3 linked regions of the Elephas maximus indicus genome follow. The protein of the gene in region 3 interacts with the protein of the main gene of each other region in a pairwise test. Links are inferred from orthologs where the notes say so. Each region holds a gene or a part of one and is shown on either strand. Other genes may lie near its edges. The genes, in order: THOC1, LATS1 and MOAP1.

Evidence for each region.
Region 1: the proteins of MOAP1 (region 3) and THOC1 interact in binary tests that used the Homo sapiens proteins (3 or more experiments, as listed by UniProt). The two-hybrid records come from large-scale screens. The link is inferred for Elephas maximus indicus from reciprocal best matches to the Homo sapiens genes MOAP1 and THOC1.
Region 2: the proteins of MOAP1 (region 3) and LATS1 interact in a two-hybrid assay, tested with the Homo sapiens proteins (2 studies listed by BioGRID and IntAct). The two-hybrid records come from large-scale screens. The link is inferred for Elephas maximus indicus from reciprocal best matches to the Homo sapiens genes MOAP1 and LATS1.

What each region holds. Positions count from the first base shown.
Region 1 is NC_064829.1:26,422,726-26,430,636, forward strand, and holds the start of THOC1 (THO complex subunit 1), read left to right. Parts: upstream 1-4,845; 5' UTR 4,846-4,876; coding exon 4,877-4,930; intron 4,931-7,189; coding exon 7,190-7,263; intron 7,264-7,357; coding exon 7,358-7,418; intron 7,419-7,911. UniProt on the Homo sapiens protein: Component of the THO subcomplex of the TREX complex which is thought to couple mRNA transcription, processing and nuclear export, and which specifically associates with spliced mRNA and not with unspliced pre-mRNA.
Region 2 is NC_064819.1:220,990,926-220,998,004, forward strand, and holds the start of LATS1 (serine/threonine-protein kinase LATS1), read right to left. Parts: upstream 3,101-7,079; 5' UTR 2,850-3,100; intron 1-2,849. UniProt on the Homo sapiens protein: Negative regulator of YAP1 in the Hippo signaling pathway that plays a pivotal role in organ size control and tumor suppression by restricting proliferation and promoting apoptosis.
Region 3 is NC_064828.1:106,763,720-106,771,685, reverse strand, and holds MOAP1 (modulator of apoptosis 1), read left to right. Parts: upstream 1-4,994; 5' UTR 4,995-5,362; intron 5,363-5,587; 5' UTR 5,588-5,711; coding exon 5,712-6,773; 3' UTR 6,774-7,448; downstream 7,449-7,966. Other genes in the region: LYSET (lysosomal enzyme trafficking factor), read right to left, coding at 3,426-3,837, 4,464-4,561.

The sequences.
Region 1 (7,911 bases), on a different chromosome or scaffold from region 3:
ATGAAACGAGTTTATTTATTTCTGGTAATATTGTCTACAAGGCTACTTTTTCCAGTATTGATATAATAACATTACATTTCTTATTAGTATTTACAAAGGTTTTTTTTCCATCTTTTTATTTTAAACTTATCTGTCCTTACTTTTAAAGTGTGTTCTTACAAACAGCAGAGAGTTGAGTCTTGATTTTTAATCCAGACTGACAATATATGGCTTTAATTTGATATTTGGTCTATTTATATCTTTTAGTAAATATTTTGGAATAACTTTAGATTTACAGAAAAGCTGCAAAAATAGTACACACAGGTTTTGTATACTCCTCACCATCTCCCCCAATGTTAACATCTTATATAACCACAGTATATTTATCAACACTAAAAAACCAACACTGGCACATTACAATTAAATAACGAGACTTTATTCAGATGTCACCAGTTTCCCCATTAATGTCCTTTCTCTATTCGAGGATCCAATCCAGGATTCCACATTGCACTTAAGAGTCCATTTACTTTTAATCTGATTACTGAAATGGATGGGTTTAAGTCTGTCAGCTTGCCATTTGTCTTCTATTTGTTATATCTTCTATATTCCCGGCCTCCAGTAACAATCTCCCCATGGTGAGCCCCATCCAGCATCCAGGACTCCAAAGAGAAAGATAAAAAATAAAAAAAGATGCTGCTCAGCTCCACCCACAGGGCTTAACATTCCAGCTTCATGGCTACCTCCTCCCACCAAGGATTGGCCTGCTTGGGGAAGGGGGCATGGCTAGATGGACCAACTCTGGCTATGGCTCTCAAGCGCCATACTAAGAGGTACCAAAGGGCTGGAGTTCTCAGAGCAAGAAGCATTACCAGAGCAAGAAACTGCAGAGGAAGTTACAGATGTGGCATATCCAATAATTAGCTGTGAAGCTCAAAAATTTTTTTTTCTAAACTATCAATAATAAGATGTTCACTATGCTAAATAAAAGGTCGAGTTATCCTCTCTTTTTTAATAAAAATATTACATAACCATTGTCACATGATGAGGTGATCAAAGAACATGGACTCAAAAATGTAAAGGAAAAGTATGATAAAAGCATACCAGGCAGTTAAATAATACTGCAGTTTTTCTGGATTTGCGATGTTTGTGACATTTATAATGTACTTTCATTTTTCTCATTCCCCAAAATTATTCACTTTCATATCAATTTTTTATCCATAATTTGTATTCTTCTTCTTCTTAAAGACCATCTCTCCCAAAATGTATAAACTTCAGGCTAGATCAACCCTTCCTCTGATGTCTATTTTTGCTTCTATCATCAGTAATTTGTACCTTAAAATATATATACATCCATACATAAAGGCTTATACATACACATATACACACTCCATACAGAGATTGATTCTGCAGTTTCCTTTGTTCTCTAACTTTTTTTATATGATCTATATATTTTTTAATTTTCTTCAGTGATCTTAGAGGTATAGAATCTATTATTTTAGATTCTATTAACGCTTACCCTTTAGTTTTTTTTAAATACAGTTGATATACTTGATCCCACATCATTTTGTGAAGACTGTAATTTATTTTGGCTCCCCCTTTGATTAAGAAGTCAAAAAAATTTTTCCCTATATTAGATATCCCTTGGCCCTGCCTCCCATCCTCTGGGCCCACTTTTACACTTGCGACTGCTGTGACATCAGCTCCACACAGGTGAAAATGACAGCATTTCACCTCAGCTGCATCATATCTTTTTTTCCCTTGCCCAGGGCTTCAGTAATATTATGTCATTGCATAGAACACCTGTGAGAACCCTCTATGGACTCAGACATGCCAACAGCAACATTCCATGAAGCAGCCTTTGATGAATGAAAATTGAAGCCAGATGATAAATGCTGCCCCCATTTCTTCAGGCAGGCAGTTTTGAGGTACATAATTTGAGAGTCACCATCACTACAGCATTAGAAAGCACCCACTTACCCGGTCACTTCCTGATCACATGAGCGCTCCTGTTCACATCTACCACCGCTCAATTCACCCCTCTCTTCTCCCATGTATCCAGAAAACATCAACCAACTACCACTGTTCGGGGCAAAATCCAACTAGACTTCACCTGGCTCATGGGAGGTAATGCAGGTGTATACACCTGTTAGACCATAATCTCCAGCAGACTGGATCATTCAAAAGCTAATCCATCCCATTCAGAACTTCAGCAGGCAGTCCAACCTTCTCATTTTGGGACTAAGGAATGAAAAGGAAAGCAAACAATAACCCATACAATTGTAGATGAAACTCCCCCTCACCTCCTACATTAATTAGGACTTTTTTTTTTTTAATGATTTTATTTTGTTGCTGTTAATGTTGAGAATATACACAGCAAAACATACACCAATACAACCGTTTCTACATGTATTATTCAGCGACACTGATTACATTCTTCAAGTTATGCAACCATTCATACCCTCCTTTTCTGAGCTGTTTCTTCCCCATTAACGTAAACTCACTGCTCCCTAAGGTTCTTATCTAATCTTTCAAGTTGCTGTTGTCACTTTGACACCATATATAGTTTTTAAAAGAGTATAATGCTCAAGGCAGACTTTTTTTTACTAGTTAAGCTAAACTATTACTTGGTTTTAAGGCTGCAGGGAATGTTATTGGTTTAAGGTTTAAAGATTATCTCAGGGCAATAGTTTCAGAGATTCATCCAGCGCCCTTGGCTCCAGAAAGTCTGAAGTCCATAAGAATTTAAAATTCTGTTCTACATTTTCCCCCTTTTGATCAGGATTCTTCTATACAATCTTTGATCAGTAATGGTAGCAGGGCACCATCCAGTTCTTCTGGTCTCACAGTAGAGGCAGTTGTTCATGAAGGCAATTAGCCACATATTCCATATCCTCCTCCTATTCCTGACTCTCCTTCCTCTGTTACCCACCTTACTGCCATGAAGTCAATTCTGACTCATAGCAACCCTGCAGAACAGAGTAGAATTGCTCCATAGGGTTTCCAAGGCTGTAAATCTTTATGGAAGCAGACTGCCACACCTTTCCCTAGGTTTGAACCATCGACCTTTCCATTAGCAGCCGAGCACTTAACCACTGCACCATCAGGGCTCCTCTTCCTCTGCTGCTCCAGGCATAATTAGGACTTTTTGATAGCAAATGAAGTCCAACTCCAAACAGCATGAAGCTATAATAAAACGGATTTACTGGCTCATGTAACTAAAATGGATGGTGGTGGAGCTGTCATCTGACATGAAAAAGTCCAGTGCTCAAACTGTGCTGTAATCAATCTCTCTTTTCATCATCTCTCCCTCCTACCCATCTGTCTTCCCTACTTAACATTTTTATCTTCGTCTCTCTTCATTTCTTAGTCTATTTTTTCATCTTTAAGCTCTGTGTCTATGCATTGGCCTCACTTTCTTCTTCAGTAGATGGACTCTGTTCAAATGGTAGGGAAGATGGGAACAGTAGCCCAATATTCACCAAGGCCCCTGAAGTAAGAGGAATTGTGCTGGGCAACCAGTATGGCCAAAGGATATCATCCAACTGGCTGTTCAACATCCAAGTGCCCTTCCTAGTATAAACCCCAGCTCTTCTTGGGTTTGGATTTTGTGAAAAAAATTTTTTTTTTACTTCTGAGGTCTCAGCTATGTTCCAGATTAATAATCATTTTTAATGTGATGATAATCATATTACATCAATTACCTTCAGATTAACAAAGTATATTTTTAAACTAAATCCTTTTTGCTAATTTGGAAATTAAAGTTATACAATAAAACCTGAATGATTTGATTGGTTCTAAAAATAGACTGCAATGCTCCAGCTAGCCATCAGTATGCACAATTTCCACTTTGCGATAAGGCTCTGTGGAAATTATCTTTTTATTAGCTTCCTTTATCCTTGTTGGATGTAAATAAAGGAACAGGCAAGATACAGCAGGTCTAGCTTTCTTCACTTAGGTACATGCGGAAGCAAAGTTTGGGGTCGGTGTCTCTTACTGCACTGCATAACCCTAACGGAGTGTTACTGCCAGTAGGTTTCTCACTGGCCACATCTCTCTTGTGAGAGGAGGAAAGGGAAGAAACTGCTTAGGAGGCATGGTTTTGCAAGGGCTGCCTCTGCCCTGGACCCAGTGCCAGCCACTTTCGAATCAGCGCCGGGTACTGCACTTCTGCTCCGTCTTTCTCTTCAGTAGAGTCCTATTATGCGCCAGTAAAGTCAAATGAAAAGTTGACTTTAAAGTCATCTTGATTCCAAGAGTAAAAATATTAATAATAAACAATACTTACATCGCTTTTACCAATTTATAATGCGCGTAGTATTCATTATCTCATTCCAGCTTTTCAACAGCCCTGTGAGCCAAGTATCATTTCATTCCACAAGGCTAATATTCAAATCTAGAGTCCTTCACGACTTCAAATCTCAAGCTTCAGGCTGAATGACTACGGTTCGGCGGCCACGGCCATCATTTCCGCAGCTCGTTGTTTCTACCAAACGCACACACCTTAAATTCTCGGACACCAGTTACCTTCCTGCGCCGCCCCTCTGAGGCCGTAATTAGCCGCCATTCACCCAGCTTTCCAACCCCAGGGAAACCACCGCGATGCAGGTGGGCGACCCCGCTTTTTCCCTGCCCGGCAACGCCGAGCAGGCAGGGCGAGGCCGCCCACATCCCCCAACCCCAAGGGCCATACCCGCGAAGGCGGATTAAGCACTGCTTGACCGACTCAGACTTCCAACGCCCACCCGAACTCACGCGCCACGGAAGCTCTCAACTCACAACTTACCCGCCCCACGGTTCACAGGCCGCTCTAGCCGCACGGAGCTGCCAACTCGCTGCTCCCGGCCTGACGTCATCGGCGGGCGCCGCAGCGCGGTGGCGGGCGCGCGCTGCCGGGAAGATGTCTCCGACGCCGCCGCTGTTTAGTTTGCCCGAAGCGCGGACGCGGTTTACGGTGAGCTTCGGCGGCGGGAACGTGCAGGCCTGAGCCGGCGTTGTTCTTTGCTCTCCTGTCCTTCAAATTACTCGAATTTTCCCCTGGGGTAGAGCGGGAACAGAGGTGTGTACGCCTCGGCGTCTACTCCCGGCCCCGTCGGAGGCTGGGAGATAGGGAGGGGTGCGCTCCCTAGCTTTTTCGCGCGTCCTTTGCTGCCTGTCCCCGCCCTCCCGCCGGCAGGTCTCAGGACCCTGCGTTCTGGGTGCATTTGCGCTTTGTGTGGAGATCTCACCGGAAGAATACCTCCGGTGCGGTCCAGCTCCTCTGCAGTGTTAGCTTAGCGGGCAGGTGTCTCCAGAACTAGAAGGGGAGCTGCTGAAGGGGGAGGGCGGGAGTGGCTCAGCCTGGAGAACCGGTTCTCGCCCGAGTTTCTAAGCTGCCGAGGTGGTTGTACCGGCCGCCGGTTCACCACCCTTTAATCTTCCGTATCTCAGTCCCAATAGATGGAAAAGACGACCCTAAGTGGGGAAAAGCAAACAGGTCAGCTTGGGAAGGGTTACCAGATGTCACCGTATTCTTGCGTGTTGGAGAAGGGTGGTTTAAGCATTTGGGAAACACCGTTCCGAGCGCTTTCACGTTAGCTCATTTAACTCTTAGACTAGCACTGTGATAGGCTAAATTTTATTATCACCAGTATGTGAGATAGAAACTGAGACCCCCAAAAGATGTTAAGTGGTTTACTTCACTGATTCTTCTGACTCCAGACCCAGTATTCTTTATGTTGTGCATCGCTGCTCCCATTATGAAGAAACACTGTTCTTCCTAAGTTGTTTGGCTGTATTCTTCTTTAGCATTTGTACCAGTATTTCAAGGCATGGTTCAACTCTTCAGGTATTTAACTGTGATTGGGTGGTAATAGTGATGCCAGAATGAAAATTCTGTGGAAAAAAAAATTATTCTTTGTAGTCAGTCGTTTTCTTTCTGCAGGTTTTTTTTTTCCATATAGTGTGGGGTTTGTTTTTTAACGAATTATATAATGTCTGTGTGATCATAATAATTTTTTGTGTGTTTTTCTGTCATCCTTGGTGCCTTGAAATTCTAGGAAGAGTAACAGCTAAGAGTAACTACTAGGAATATCCAAGGTCGTATTAGTCCTGGAAAGGATGGTGTAATTTGAGTTCATCTAGTCCAGTGCTTCTCAAACTTTAGTGTGCAGTAGGCTCACCTGGCTACCTTGTTCAGTGCAGGCTCTGGTTCAGTATCTGGAGTGGGGCCTGAAATTCTGCGTTTCTAACAAGTTGCCAAGCAATGCCACTGCTGCTGCTGGTAGTATGGGTCTAAGACAGCCCTCTTATTTTATTGGTGAGGAAAATGAAGCAGAGAGAGTAAGAGATATGTCCAAGATTATACAGCCTATTGGCGCAGGACCAGGCAGTATTTCATTCTGTAGTCCATAGTGTCATCGTGAGTCGGAAGATACTCTGCAGCACCTAACGATAATGATAATGACAAATTAGTGGGAGAGCCAGGAATGGACATTTCAGCATAGCTCTTAACTCCTCTAGAGTCATCTAACACAGTGACTTTCCAAGTGTATGTGAATTTTCACAGAACGAATGACCTTACAGTATTTGTGTCTTTAAATTATGACTACTTTAAGATGGTCAGCAGTTATTTATTCAGTGCTAATTACATGTCAGGGACTGTGCTGAGCAGGCTACATAGAGAAGACGGACTGGAGGTGGGTCTTGAAAAACTTATAGAATTTGGATGAGAAGGTGGGAGTATGAATGTGAACACACTAGAATGAACTTGATAGAAAATGATGAAAAAATGGCTAGAATTTAGTGTAGCGTTTCATGTTGGAGAGTAGTGGGGAATAAGATTGGATAGACCGAGTGGGATAGCATCAAGGACCTTGAGAGGTAGGTATGAAAATTCAAAATGAAAACATATGAATAAGAAGCCATTTGGAGTTTTTTTTTTTTTTTTCCAAAGTAGAATGCCATCATGAATGTGATAGTTAAGGGGATGATATAAGGGGATACCTGGAATGAGAAAGGCTAGCTAGTACGCTCTTGCCGGGTTTAAAGTGATGAGGATTTGTATTAGTTGGTGCCATTTGGAATAAGGATCATGAAGAAAAAGGTGTATAGGTAATTTTTCCCAGGTATAAACATTTTTTTAGTTAGGCATACTAAGCTATATTAATAATTATATTTTTTTAGTAAATAATAACAAAATCTTTCTACTTATTTGCCATTTTTATTTTTCTAGAAGTCTACCAGAGAAGCCTTGAACAACAAAAACATCAAGCCATTGTTGAGTACCTTCAGCCAGTTACCTGGCAGGTAAGGCATTGACACCTATGAAAATTGTTTGCCTAAATCTTTATGCTTACCCTGAGCTGTTTAAAAAATGAGGCTGTCTTTCTTTCCTTAATAGTGAAAATGAAAAAAAATGCACTCTTGATCAAGCTTTCAGAGGTGTTCTAGAAGAAGAAATTGTAAGTTTGGTTTTCCTTAATTGTTAAAATTTTGCCAACAAATTACTAATCCCAGAGTTACTACAAAAAAACATTGCTTTTATTGTTAGATTGGATATTTAAACATGGTTAAGGCACCTTTTTTTATTTTTTGTACAGTGCACTTGCTACTTTGTGAAAGTGGACTTGGTCATAGTATATAAAACCGGAAAACCAAACCCACTGCCATTGAGTTGATTCTGACTCGAAGCAACCACATAGGGTTTCCAAGGCTGTAAATCTTCATGGAAACAGACTGCCATACCTTTCTCCTATGGAGCCCACTGTACCACTAGGGTTTCTTATAGTCAGTGTAGGCGTTGTATAATAATTAAGGATTTTGATAGCACAAATGCAATTTAAGGGTTTGGTTTAATAAATGAAGAAGAGCCCTCTGCAACTGAGTATAAAAAGAGTGTGGCTTGAGGTCTTACTGAGGAAGAACTATAGGTTAAAGTTGAATTTTCTGACTTTT
Region 2 (7,079 bases), on a different chromosome or scaffold from region 3:
TCAGCAACAAGTAACCCACTTAAGGTAAAAACAAAACTAATAGTTTAAGCGAAAAGGAAAGATAAAACCCCACTATTCTTCAATAAAACAAAAACTCATTGCCGTTGAGTCGATTCCGACTCACACTGACCCTATAAGAAGACAGAGAAGAACTGCCCCATAGAGTTTCCAAGCAGCACCTGGTAGATTCGAACTGCCAACCTTTTGGTTAGCAGCCGTAGCTCTTAACCACTATGCCACCAGGGTTTCCGTTCTTCAATACGCCTCAAAGTTATACACTCAATCATAAAGATAATAAAGAGGTTCAAGATAATTAACAAGGGTTTTGAAAAGGAGGATGTCACCACGATGTTATGTGTTAACTACCTGTTTATTCTCCTTGACAGAATCCCTGTGTGGAGCAAACGATTGGTGTTCAGCTGCTAACCAAAAGTTGGAGGTTTGTGTCCACCCAGAGGCACCTCGGAAAAAAAGCCTGGCAATATACTTCTGAAACTGAAAACCCTATGGAGCACAGTTCTACTGACACACATGGGGTCGCCATGAGTCATAATGAACTCAGAAACTAGTAAGAGTTCTTGGGAAAGCTCCTGCAGTATCTCCTCTGGTAGAAATTATACCCATCCTTTGAGGTCCCACTGAAATACCACTTTCTTCAAGAAGCTTTCGTTGAACTCCCAGCTGTTATCCTTCTCCTCAAAACTTCAAATGCACCTTGCATGGTTCAAACAAAACATGTTCTTGCCCTACGTATGTACTTGTCTTACTTTTCCTGCTATGTCACTGATTCAAAGAGAATAAGGTATCTTGGAGATACAAACACACACACAGACATACATGCGTGTGTGTATTTTTTTCAACAGAAAAGGAAATGGATCCACAGAGGGAAAGTGGCCTGCAGAAGGTCACACAGCCAGCTGAATCTTTCCATTACACCTACATTTTGAGTCTCCTTAACAGGTAGGGATCATCTTTGAAGGGGCACTGAAATTGGTTAGGCTAAATGGACTTAAAATCTCCATTTCTTTGAAAGTTTAGACATTTATCAAAAACACAAATATCAGTAAACTGAAACAAATATTGAGTATCTTGACAACACTTAGGGAAAGAACTAATACCATTACATAATAAGATATTCAAGTTTACCTTTGGTTAAACTAGATTTACAAAAAAGATAACCTGTTTCAATGCTTTGAATACATCAGTTGTGAGAATAGCCCACAGTAATAGGTACCGCTACTTAGCTGGAAAAATCTTCATAGTTTTAGTTGTTTAGACAAGAATATTCAAGAAAAGCCTGTGTAATGTTGATAACATTCTCTTCAATTCACTTTCTAAGAATGAACTGTCTGATCAAAAGTGAAAATAATCACTGTATTTTACTTATGTGCTGAAAAATGACTGCCATTTCTTCTTGATAAAAATGTTGTTCAGTGACTAAACAACTTCTGAAGTCTACAAAAACGCTCCACTAATCTAAACAACAATTAAGTAACCAGAGTTTGCTTTCAGACTGTATTATACAGAACAAGGACTAGACTTAAAAACAAAAATAAAAAACTTAAAGTTTAACCTACAGAATGAAGTCCAACTATCATACCCCCAAAAAATGCTGTAACGAAAATGCTGTAGTAGCTTTTTATTTGCTTTAGGAGTGGCACGGCACAGTCTATCAATATGCACGCACAGAAAGAATGTGCCTTCTCCACCATGTGCCACGATCTACTTTCTTGCAGTCACAGCCGATCAAAACACAATGCTACCTCTTTAACAGTTAGATTCCCCCACTGACTTAGGCAATCAACTAGCCCATTTTACCTGTTAACTTATTAAAGGAAAGAAATAACCTTGGTAAGGACAGCTACAAATGTCAGTACCTTAGCAAAGAATACTAATTCCAATTATAACATCCCACCTTTTCTTCCTTCTAGAGGAAAACTGATTAAAAAAAAAAAATTACTCTTCATAAATAATCCATAGTGGCCTGGCAAACTCCATGATCTCAAGTATTCAAATGTATTTCCAAAGATGAAGTGATACAATATGATTTTTTTTGTGTGAGACTATGCTTCTCACTAAATTTATGAATGAACTTCTAGACGAAGATAAATATTTTAAGCCATATTAAGATATGAAAAAGACAAACATTAAACTTGGTCCCTTAAATAATGACTTTCAATTGGAGAAGAGAGAGTATGGGGTTAAATCAAGTCACCTGAGAGTTATTCTATGAGCTACAAGCTCTCTTCGAAAATATGCAATGTTCCTTTTACTTTCTTTCCATCATCTTCTGTGTTTATATACACACTTCTTCATAAACACTCTTCCATCTCTCTCACCACTTCCAACTATGAACAGTAACCACATTACAGTGGACTGGAAATAGATAATAGAATTTCTTCAATGTATACACAGATCGGGTGCTTCTGGGATCCAAAGAACTGCACCTCTCCCACTGCTAGTTTCTCTCGGAGCCACCTTCGGCTCTCCTCCCCTGCCAGACACCGCTGACTCGCGTGTTGGGGGTGGGGTGGCGGGGAAACGGTCGGCGCAAGGCCGCCAGGGAGGCAGACTCTTCCCAGCTTAACCTGCACCTCCGAGCCCGAAAAGCTTGGGGCTCTTCCTCCAGTGCTGGGCGCGGCCAACACACGCTTCCCCAGGGCACGGCTCAGCTCAGGTCAACGCTTCCAGCCCAGATAGGCCCGGCCCCGGCCGGCTCAGCCCGCCCGTCCGCAGCAGCCCCTGGACCCCCGCCAGCGAGGATGGGCGTGGGCCCCGGTGGCCACCGCCCGCCAACCCTGGCTCCCGAAAAGAGTGGGCCCCACCCGCTACGCCCGCCGCGGACCTACCTGCAGGGGAGAGCGGGGCTCCTGGACTGCGGCCACGGGCCCGAGAGCGGGCGCCGAGGAGGCCGGAGCCCGTACCAGGGACCCCAAGTATCCCTGGCTGGGCAGGGCAGGGAGAAGCGCTGGGGGGCTGCCGCGGGCCAGCGCGGCTGGTCGCGGGGGTCGCGGGGACCTGGCTCTCCCCTTAGCACCAGGCCACCGCCGCTGCCGCCATTTTGCCTTCCACTCCGTGTCGCCGCCGCAGCGCTCCGCGGCAGGTTTCCCGGATGTGGGCATTTCCCGGCGTCGCTTGCGCGGGGGCCGAGGACTGGGGGCTTCTGCCCGCCCGGCGGCCGGGAGCGAGCGCGCTGCCTGCGGCCTCCCGCGCGCGACTTCCGCCGGCACCTCTGGGTGTTGGTGTCAGCCGCGTCGCTCCCGCGTTTCGCTGCCCAGATGACACACGCTCCGTTAGTGGAGTCGGGCTCTTCCCCACCCAAGCCCACTCCTGGATTTCATTCTCTTTCTTTCAATTGAGCTTTTGCTCTGAACGGGTATAGAATAAAGATACGCGTGTCCAGGAGCTTAATTCTCAGAAGGGAACAGCAACGAGTCGCTCTCTGGTACCTCGCGGTGGCCATCAGATACAGGATTTCTAGAGGCTTGGAAGTAAACTTTGATGCTTGCTTAATGCTCTTTCCCCGAGTAAGTCTGTGAGCGAAAGCATATATGTATTCTCCGAACAAGCCAAATAACACGTTCCTAGAGCCGGGACAGATTAATAAACATATTTTAGAGACCTTTATCTGCCACCAGTATCAGTACAAGAGGAGGTCATTATTGTCCTAATAGGAATAACAGTGACCAGTGGTGAGAAGTTTTATTTCCTGTTAAGTTGAATCGGAAGCTTGGAATGGGATCGTTGGAGGTACCCTCCATCCTTTGTAAGGAAGCACTTTGCCAGTTCTGCCTCTAGAAAATAAATAGTTAGCATTTTCAAGTACCTCCTTTCATCATTTTTCTACTAAAGGCTAACTAAAAAAAAAAAAAAAAATTTTTTTTTTAATTGAAGGCTTCTTTTTCTGATGTTATATGAATGACTGGCCAGTGTATCCGGAAGTTCAAATGAGGAAACCTTTGTTGAAAGAAAAGATTACATTCCAAGAGCCCTTCTAAACTGTAAGCTCCATGAAGGTAGGAATATCTGTTCTGCAGATTGCTCTCTTCTTAGCACCAATTACAGCCTGACAAATGGTAGATCTTCAGTAGATATTCAACTGAAATCTGAATTCAGTTTTAAATGGCGAAAAAATATTTCCACGGTTATCACAACCTAGACATCTGTATCTACATTGTTGGTCGCAATATTTATCTTTCTTTAAATACTTTTATCCCTGTTATCTTACAGTATCTTTTGTAGCTATTGTCAGTGCCTCAGTTTTTTTTGAAGTTACCTGTTCACCAAATCTTGACCTCATTGTCTTGTGTAAGTATAGCTGCCAGCTCTTGCCTGCCCTCTATATTTGGGTCTCTACCTCTCCATTCCCAAGTTCTTTGTCCGGTGCCCCCATGTCCAGTGTTCTAGATTACTACTTTTGCTGTCTGCTCTGCCTGAATAATCACCCATAAACTTCTGCATGTTGGCCTCATGCCCACTGTTGACCCCCTGACTTGCTGCTCTTTGTCTGCATGATAGTCATAGCAGCTAACCTTTATTGGTAGCTTTCTACATACTAGCCACAAAGCTCAGCACTTTCACATAGCAATTAAATGAGGAAACCCAGACATGAGTTCAGGCAGTCTGACTCCAGTGCCAACTCCAGTGCCTCCTAACCACCTTTCTGTACTGCTGCAACTTCTAATCTGAGCTTTTCTCTTTGCTTGCATGGTCCACAGTAACCTTGTTTTCCTTATTGGCTATGAACTATACCTCTTTGCCAGACCCTGCTGCTGTCCTCCCTTGATTCTCTCTCTCTCTCTCTTTTTTTTTTTTTATCTCTAGTTCCCCTTAACCTGTCTCTTCACCATCCAAGTCTTGGCTTTGACGTTTACTACTCTATCTCACTTTATTTTTAAATAGGTAATACATTCAAGTGGAACAAAGTAGCAAAAAAAAAAAAAAAAAAAAAGGAGAAACAGTGAAACCTTCAATCCCTGTCTACCCAACCTGCCTGTTCCCGTCCTTGGAGGCAGTGTTACTGCCAGTTCTTGTGCATCCTTCCAGAGATGCTATGCACATACATACAAGTACAGTTACGTTCTTTTCTTCCCTTCCTTTTCCCCCCTTATACATACTGTTCTGTGACATGCTTTATTTGTTTTATATTTGTTTAATTATATATCTTGGCAATCATTCCCCTTTGTTATATAAAGAGGTTCTTCATCTAGTTGTTGTTGTTAGGTGACCCCATGTAATAAAGTAGAACTGTCCCATAGGCTTTTCCTGATTGTGATCTTTATGGGAGCAGATCCTCAGGTCTTTCTCCCACAGAGCAGCTGGATGGGTTCAAACTGTTAACCTTTAAGTCCACAGCTGAGTGGAGTGCTTAACTATCGGGCCACCAGGGCTCCTACTTTTTTTGTCTGTATATGCTCACCTCTTGATTGTTATGGTGTCTTCTAGGTGAAATTTTATAAATCAGAGATGGCATCTGTGGTTGGTCCATATCTAAGGGCTATTTCTCTGGGTGCGAACTATCATGGTTTCCATATACAATAAGTCCCTGGGTTAGAAACATCTGACTTATGGATAGCTCATACTTGCCCTCTAATGTTATATAAATTTGTCCCCACTTTGAACAATGGAACCAACTCCTACTGGCAGCAAACTCATCACAATCACGTTCCTTTGCTGTGAGTGCAGCTTTTACATCACTGAAAAAGGTTCAAGCCTTTTCTTGCACTAACCAAAACCGAAAACCCATTGGCATCCAGTTGATTCCAACTCATACCAATCATATAGGACAGAGTAGAACTGCCCCCTAGGGTTTCCAAGGAGTGCCTGGTGGATTCAAACTGCTGACCTTTTGTTTAGCAGCCGTAGCTCTTAACCGCTACGCCACCAGGGTTTCCTTTGCACTAAAATAAGGCTAAATAAGAACCATATGCACCTATTCTGAGTTACCCACAAATTAAAGACTTAAAGACACACTTGGGAATGGATCTTGTTCATAACCTGGGGTCTGCCTCTATTGTAATTTAATCTGGAATTTAAAATTAGCTGCCAGCTCTCCAAATTTGTTTCATTCTTTATATTTGATCCAGATCACCACTTCACTATAGTAAAATAAATTAGGATCCATTTCTTTCAAAAAAAGAATACTTTTACTGTACCTGTTGGGTACACAAATCCATGATTAACACTGTGGAGAGATTAAAATGAAGACACCGTCTGTTGTGTAACAACCCAGTGGCACCTGAACCCAAGGTCAGCTGCATCTCCAGGAGACCAAAGAAAGGCTCCAGAACCAGTGATCACAACATATGGTTTATAACGGGACCATGGCTCAGGGCAGCGGCTAGACCAGTTTAGTGCTCCACAACTGCATAGCAAAGGACATAAGCTTATATACCATTCCAGCTGGGACCAAGGCTCATTGTTTTCTCCCACATCCTTGGGAAGCCAGTGTTCCCAGGGACTTCACTTCCAGGCCCAGATGTTTTCCTCCTTGTCGCTAAGGTGTTCCTTGGCCTTGGCCACCGGCCCAGTCACATCACTCCCAGCCTTGTACCTCAGCCCAAGTCTATCCAGAGTTTATCCCCAGCATGCTTCAGGGAAGAGCAAAACTGACTCCATTAGGAGGGAATGCATATAGCTGAATGGCATTACACTACACCATCTCTGTCCTTTTGAAGTATATAATACAGTTGGGGAACAATGTAAGCATTACATTGACTCTAGAAGTTGCATTTATGTAACATTTTATTCATGGCACAGTCTAGTGCAGGCATTCTCCACTGGCTGCCATTTTGGTCATTAGATGCCATCAAGGTAGGAATGAAAGCTGAGGAGATGGAATTTTGACAGATTCTTCAAGAAGTCTGGAAGTTAACAGAAGGGGGTGGATAGGATGTAGGTGGAGAATTGGAGGATGGTTTTGTTTTTTGCTTATTCTTTACATCAGGGAGACTTCAGTATGTTTTCCATAGTTTGGGAGGAAGGAGGCACAACACATACAATATTGGCAACAGGTATTGTTTTTTTCTCCCTTAATTCTTCCTGTTAGGGATGTATCAATTTTTTCAAAGAACCAACTT
Region 3 (7,966 bases):
CTCTGATCCCCTGCTCGGGTGGCTGAAGTGGGTAGGAGGCACCATCAGTCTTCAGGTCCCTTGCACAGGTGGCTGGAAGGGGTGGAAGGCACTGCCAGCCCTCAGGCCCCTGTGTGGGTGGCCAGAAGGAGGAGGCATCTCAGACCTTCAGGCCCCGGCAGGGGTGACTAGAAGGAGTAAGAGGTGCTGCAAGTCCGTAGGCCCCGGCATGATTGGCTGAGCAAAGGGGTGGGCACCTCCAGACTGGACTCCCAGCTTAGGGAGCAGGGTAGTGGTGAATGCCGCTGGACTGCAATCACGTGCGAGGACACGGGGCTGGGCGAGAAGGGTTGGGGTGCCCCACAAGCCTGCTGGCCTCTGACGCAGGGGGGCTGGGGTGGGTGCAGTGGGTGGGATGCATGCACTTAACTTTCACAGGGTAGGAAGCAGTCCTGCCTTGCTTTAGCCATGAGTGGTTGAGCAGAGGGGTGGGTGCATCCAGACCAAGAGCTCCTGGCTTAGGGGGTGGGGCAGTGGTGAGTGCCGCCAGACTATGATTGTGTGCGGGGAGGGGGCATGGGCAAAGAGGATGGGGGTGTCCTACAGGCCTGCAGGCTTCCAGCACAGGGTGCTGCGGTGGGTACAGTGGGTGGGGTGCACGCAGTTGACTTTTGCTGGGCAGGAAGCACTCCTGGCTGGCTCCGGCTGTGTAGGCAGTCATTCCTGCTTGGCTGCACTAGGTAATGGGGGTTTCGGCTGGGAAAGCTGCTTGCTTTGTGTCAGTATGGCCGGGCTGTTCAGGTACGGCTAGCAGGGCACTGGCGATCCATAATTCTCCATGTCTGCTGTTTCTGTATTGTCTGTCCTTCCACTTGGCGCTTTGTCTGATTCTTCACCTTGTCTTTGATGCTTCAGATTCTTGTCATCTATATCCAATTCGCTTGTTTTTTTCAGGTCTTTAAGAGGGATGCTATGAAGCATCTGACTGCTCTGCCATCTTTTACTACCTCCTTTCCTCCTTTTTGAGAAGCAGTAGAGTGGAATGATAAAGAGCTGGCTGGGGCTCTGAAGCTGGACATCCTGGGTTCAAATCTTGGCTCTTCTACTTATTATGTATCACAGGCGAGCTATGAATTCCTATGTGCTTCAGGTTTCACTTTGTCTGCTATAAAATGGGGCCAGTTAAGAGTACAATACCTGCCTCATATGATTGTTGTGAAGAATCAATGTAAATTTTCAGAAAACAGCACTTGCATCCTGCAAACTGTGAGAAAGTACTCAAAAGACATAAGCAAATATCCAACCCTCACCTAAACACAGGTATTTCAAACAGCTGCGGGTGCTTGAAAATCCAATATATTGGATCAAAAGCTCTATCATTTCAGTAAATAGACCTTTGGAGGTACTAAGGGAGATAAATGAGATTAACTGGAGAAAGATCTGTTTGTGCTGCTTTTGAGTTACAAAGGCATCTGCTTTATCTTTCAAGTAAAACCTTGCCCCAGGGATGTTCCGCCTTCTATCCTGGTCAAATCAGATGCAGTGTTAAGGTTGAAGTTGCTAGAAAATTTTCAGACTTTCAGTAGCTCATATACAAATCGAGAAAGAACTTTCTCAGTAATATTGCCATTTCCCTTCTGTGGCACAGCTGGGCAGACAGTACCTAGTACTGAACATCTGTCGTTTGTGAGAAGTGCTGTGGTTCAGTGGTTAAGAACAAAGGCCTCAGAATGCCTGGTTATTAACTCTGGCTCTGCTCCTTACTGTGTGACCTTGGGCAAGTTACTGAGCTTCTCTGCCTCAGTCTCCTTATCTGTAAAATCTGGGTAACTGCTATCTCCAGGACATCATGCTTGTGAAGTAGACGGTTGGCTGAAAAAAAAGGAAGACCCTCAAGGAGATGGACTGATACAACAATGGGCTCAAACACAGCAATGATTGTGAGGATGGAGCAGGACCAGGCAGCACTTCGCAGGACCAGGCAGCACTTCACAGGACCGGAAAGCACTTCATTCTGTTGTACATAGGGTTGCTATGAGTCGGAACTGACTCTACAGCCCCTAAGCACCTAACAACAACCGGCGTGTTGTGAGGACTGAGTTAATTCATGTAAAGCTCTCAGAACAAGGCCTAACAAGTAAGCACGCACACACAAAAAAGCAGTTATAATTATTCTTAAAATCTATCAGCATAAAACCTCTCTCCTCTATTAATGACATTACTATATAAAGATACATCTTGGTCTCATCCAGAAAAAAAAGAACTCCTAAAATCTAAACTTCAATTTTTAGTTATCTGTATTGGTACCAGACAAGAGGTGGTGTGACTGCAAAGGAGGTACCAGGATCACATCTTTATGCAACTGACCTACTGTCTGAAGACTTTTTTCTTTCTAAACTATATTAGCAATTCAACAGCTCAACCCTGACCTTGAGCCGGGGGCGGGGGGGGGGGGACCGGAAGGGACAATGACTTGATAGTATCTTTTAGAGGGGCATTAAGCATCCTGAAGGAGTCCTGGTGGCACTACAGTTTAAGAGTTCAGTTAACTGAAAGGGTGGCTTAGAGCCCGCCCAGCAGTTCCACAGGAGAAAGACTTGGAGATCTGCTCCTGTAAAGACCACAACCTAGAAATCCCTATGCCAAAGCCCTATGGGATGGTTCTATGCTGTCAATGTGGTGTCACTGTGAGTTGGAATTGACTGGATGGCACCTAACATAGCATCTGCTAGAGACTGGACTACATTTCCTCTGATATTTTCATGGACAAAACTTTTTCTCCTCTTCTACATGTAAATTATTTCCAGACTTTCAAACATTTAGTCTCTTAGTCCATTTTTTTAAAAAAACAGACCATTAATAATGACATAGCTAGCCCTTACCAAGAAGTACAAATTCTGCTTGTCAAGATGGCAAGCACTAAAATAATCATACAAATTCCTCATAAGCTGACAGAAAGCAGGCATAAACAGCTGGCTTAGTTATCACAGGATGCATTGGTGTTTTAAAGAATTTTAAAGCAAGCCAAGTAGTTGTATAAAATTTAAATTTTATGACCATGTTTGGACATTTTTACATTTAACACAATGGAAATGTTTATATTCATTCGTTTTTTTTTCCCCAGAGGAAAAATATTGAATCACCACTATGTTACACAGTAGAATAAAAATATGAGTTCAGGTGCTTATTCAAGTTTCTAAAGAATGCAAATAAAATACACGATATTACTTCCAAAATCTGACATCATCAACATGATTTTGTAGTATCTCAGGCTTTAGCTAAAAATTCAGTATAATTCAGATGAAGATAGCCCCCCAGTCACGCTTTTTAAAAAGCCCCTGCCCGACCACAACTTCCGGAGAACTGTGAAGGAACTGCAGTCTTGTGATCAGACTCCAGACGGTGCTGGCAGTTTGGTAATCAGTAAGGAGAAAACCATGACTGTTTTATGTGTCAATCAGTTGTAGTCTGCTGATCTGATTAGAAGCCTTGACAAATGCCTGGTGGCGATTGCAAATAACTGCCAGGCATATTGGGATGATACAGTAGCCCACCGTTTTCGGGTCAGCTCTTGTACAAGAATAGAGGAACAAAAACATCTGTAGGTAAGGTATCAGAAAAATAATTGTCCATAACCAAAAAGGCAGGGAAAGTAACCGAACTTTCAAGGAGTGTGTCCATGTGGTTCCTTCAAGTGGTTCCTCAGGGTGCTGCTGAATGTGTTCCAAGGCCAGCCTGTTATAAGTCTCACTGATTTCAAAAACATAGTAAAATGCCGCTGCACTTGCTAATAGATACAATCCCACTCCAATCCATCCCATCCGCTGACGGAAGTTCATCATTCTCCATGCTCTGTGCCTTGAAATTAAAAAAAAAAAAAAGTTAAAACCAAAAAACCAAACCCATTGCCACTGAGTTGATTTGACTCATAGCTACCCTATAGGACAGAGCAGAACTGCCCCATAGGGTTTCCAAGGAGCAGATGGTGGATTCGAACTGCCGACCTTTTGGTTAGCCGCGGAGCTCTTAACCACTAGTTGGGCCTAGTATTGTTATCATAGCAGCAATTCCAAATACACTGGCTTTATTTCCAGTGAGCTTTTTCCCTCCAATGAGTTTTAAAATACAAGACTTAACACATTTAAGGTTTAAAATAAGTAGATTTACATTTACTGAGAAATGTAAACAACTTACAGGTTATTTTATGTAATAGTCATGAGCAAGTAAAAACCACTGGTTTCTGTATATACCGAGTTCTGCTTTTTATACGAATCCCACAGAGTAAATCACCACCCTGTGCTTAAGCAAGTCCAATACAGGTCCTCAGGAATTAGCTGGAGTTAAATTCCCCACGCAGCATTTCACTCTTTACGATTCAAGTACTTTCTGACTTCACAGTATCCCTTTAGACGTGAAAACTCGGTTTTACGAGTCAAACCAAAGCCGGAGCCCCCAACTAAGAACAGTCACTCTGAAACACTTACAGTGGTCCTGAAAATCTTCCTGTCCCCACGGCAAGCGTTAAAGAGTCACTCAGCTCTGAGTAGGCAGGCGGCTTGGGCATTTCAGGGAGAGCCACCATAAGAGAACTCCCATGGGTCACCCGCCTCAGAGAAGGGTGAGCTCGGCCAGCCTGGAGAACAAGCTAACAGTGACTAAGTCCAGCGTGACTGGGGCCGCTCGCGCGGGGACGGGGCCAGCCTGTCACCCGGCCCGGCCAGCAGGCGCCGGCGCCACCAGGGCCTCCCCAGCAGCCGGCCCCGCCCCCTGCCGTGCGGCAGCGCCAGCCGGCCGCGACCAGGGCGGCGCAGGCGGCACCAGGCCGGGGCCTCGCCGCCCCGCAGCCGGGAGCTCCGCGCCCAGCAGTGGCCACCGGCAGAGCAAGCAAAGCGGGGCAGCTCCGGGCTCTCACCTTCCTGTCCCGGGTGGCCCGCCCGCCCGCCGTACCGGAGGCCGCCGCAGTCGGGGCTTCCGGCTCGGGCCGGAAGTGCGCTCGCCCCGCCCCGGAAGGCCCGCCCCCTAGACGTCAGAGCGCCTCGGGCCGCGGCGCCGCTGCTCTGAGAGCGTCCAGACAGATCTAGGTGGGGTGCCGGGGGTGGTCGTGTTGTCGCCGGTGACAGCCTGTGCCTTCAGGGGGCCCCCGTCCGGGCCTGGCGGGCCTCGCTCGCGCTCGATCGCCCAGTCACTCCCGCGGCAGAGTACCGGAGAGACTAGGTGGCCCTGCATCCCTCGCCGTCGCCCTTTAGAGCCTCGCTCTCCGTCCAGTCTCCGTCCGAGCCGAGGAGAGGTCGCTGACCCGCTCCTCAGGCCTGGAGGCTTGGGAGCCGGCCCTGGGCACCCCGAGCCCCGGCAGCTGGACGCAGGCGTCGGCCACTAGATAAAGGTGGGCGGGAAGCGGGCCCTGCGAGCGGCTCCGCGGGCCCCGGGGTCCGCTGGGGGCGCCCGAGGCCGGGAGGCGAGGTCACATGGCTGCCGCTGCGGAGCGCGGAGGCCTGGGTGGCCGCTCTCGGCGTCGCCGGGGGTGGAGGATCCGCGGGGCCTTTCGCGTCCTGCTGTGCGGCCTGGGACCTTGACCCAGTTAGCTAACTCAACTGCTTTGTCCTCACAGGCTGCTGGAACTCGGGACGTTGACGTGACATAGCTGGGGGACCGCGGAGGACTACTGCGAATCGCGGTGGGCATCTGCGCCCCGCCGGTCCAATTAGAATTTAAACCTCTGTATCTTGGGCACCATGACACTGAGGCTCTTGGAAGACTGGTGCAGGGGAATGGACATGAACCCTCGGAAAGCTCTGTTGATTGCCGGCATCCCCCTGACCTGTAACGAGGCGGAAATCCAGGAGGCTCTGCAGGCAGGGTTAGCGTCCCTGGGCCAGTACCGACTACTTGGGAGAATGTTCAGGAGGGAAGAGAACAGGGTTGTAGCCCTTGTAGGACTTACTGAGGAGACTAGTCTTGCTGTGGTCCCTAAGGAGATACCAGGGAAGGGCGGTGCCTGGCGAGTGATCTTTAAGCCCCCTGACCCAGATAATGAATTTTTAAACAGATTAAATGAATTCTTAGAGGGAGAGGGTCTGACAGTGGCTGAGTTTACCAGCGCTCTTGGGTATGGAAACGACCCTTTTGACCTAGACCAAAACCTAGTCCCACACGTGGGGGCCCCTATGTTGGCAGAGGCATTAGATGAGGCCCTTCAGCCGGCCCTGCAATATCTGCAATACAGAAAGCTGAAAGTGTTCTCAGGCAGCGATCCTCCAGAACCTGGAGAAGAAGGATTTGATTCCTGGCTGTTTCATACTACTCATATGATGAAGACATGGCAGGTGTCAGATGCAGAGAAAAGAAGACGATTGCTAGAGTGCCTTAGAGGCCCAGCATTTGATGTCATTCGTGTCCTCAAGATAAACAATCCTTTCATTACGGTCCCTGAATGCCTACAGGCACTTGAGCAGGTATTTGGGGTTATCGATAATCCTAGGGAGCTGCAGGTCAAATTTCTAACCACTTATCAGAAGGCTGAAGAAAAGTTATCTGCCTATATCCTAAGGCTGGAGCCTTTATTACAGAAACTGGTAGAGAGGGGAACAATCGAGAAAGAAGTTGCGAATCAGGCCCGCCTAGACCAAATCCTTGCCGGGGCAGACGACAGAACCCTTCGGAGGAGGCTTGACCTGCCGGAGGACGGCCCGGCACCTGGCTTATTGCAGTTACTGACACTGATAAAGGAAGAAGCAGCAGCTGAGGAGGAGGAGGAGGCCCTTCTTCAGGCAGGACTAGAGGGGAATTTCACCTGAGTCTTAGGAAACCAGAAGGGGATATCTGACAGTGAGCAGAGCATGAAGGTACAGCAGCCCGTACTCACCAGAGTTAGATCTGAACCAACCCCCGGCCTTGTGCCGCCAAGTAACTCATCCTTGCACAGTGCTCAGTATAAAACCTTTGTCATTTCTGTGCCTACTTAATGTCTCCTAAGTGTGTCCTTGACTAGAAAAAATGGAATTTTGCACTGGTATTTATATATTTAAGTTCACACCTGTGATGTTTTATATAAAACCGTACAGAAGGGTGCATCACTACATGTATGCAGTGCTCTGAGGTTGCAGGCACAGCTCAGGGACATGGGCTGAGCAGAAGAGCTTGCTGAGATGTCAGTTTGTGTAATGACGGGAGCAAACGTAGCATGTCAGATGGGATAATATGGTATCGTAGGTCGTTTTTAGATGTGTATTGTCTCTTATATTTACCATGAAATCATGAACAGTGGTTAAGATATTAAATATTTTGTGCATGAATCAGAATTTTATTGATTCTGTGCAATCAAAAAGCGGAATTACATGCTGAGGCTGAAAAGTTTGCAGCTGCCACCTCTAGCCCTAGGTGTCTGATATGCGTTGAACGGTGTACATGTCCTGAATGTCGTTTTAATAGATATTATACATGTGAATTTATAAAATAAAGGAATGCTAATGAAGTGACTTCTTTTATCTGTTCTACTTACATTAGGGTTTCAAGAGAGGTTTCATTTGAACAAATGGTCCCAAAAGCTTAAATATGAAAACCACTGAGGTTATACAGTCTTCGTCCCTCTGGACTCTCTTCTCTTGGTTCCCACAGGGTAGGAAGTGCTTTACTAAGTGAAATTGCTGGAGGGACCTGCTACTGAAGCAGTGAAACAATGGAATGAAACAAAACTACACAAATTGTCCTTGTGTGCCATTGAGTCAGTCCTGGCTCATAGCAAGTCTATATGACAGAGTAGAACTGTCCTATAGGGTTTCCTAGGCTGAAGTCTTCACGGGAGCAGATCACCAGATTTTTTTCTCCCACTGAGTGACTGGTGGGTTCCAACCACCAACCTTTTGGTTAGCAGCCGAGTGCTTAACCATTGCGCTGCCAGGGCTCCTTGTACACAAAGTAGTGCATGCCTCTGTTAGAAAAGCTAAATATTTTTCTATATATTTTCTCATTTAATCCTCTGAAAAATCCT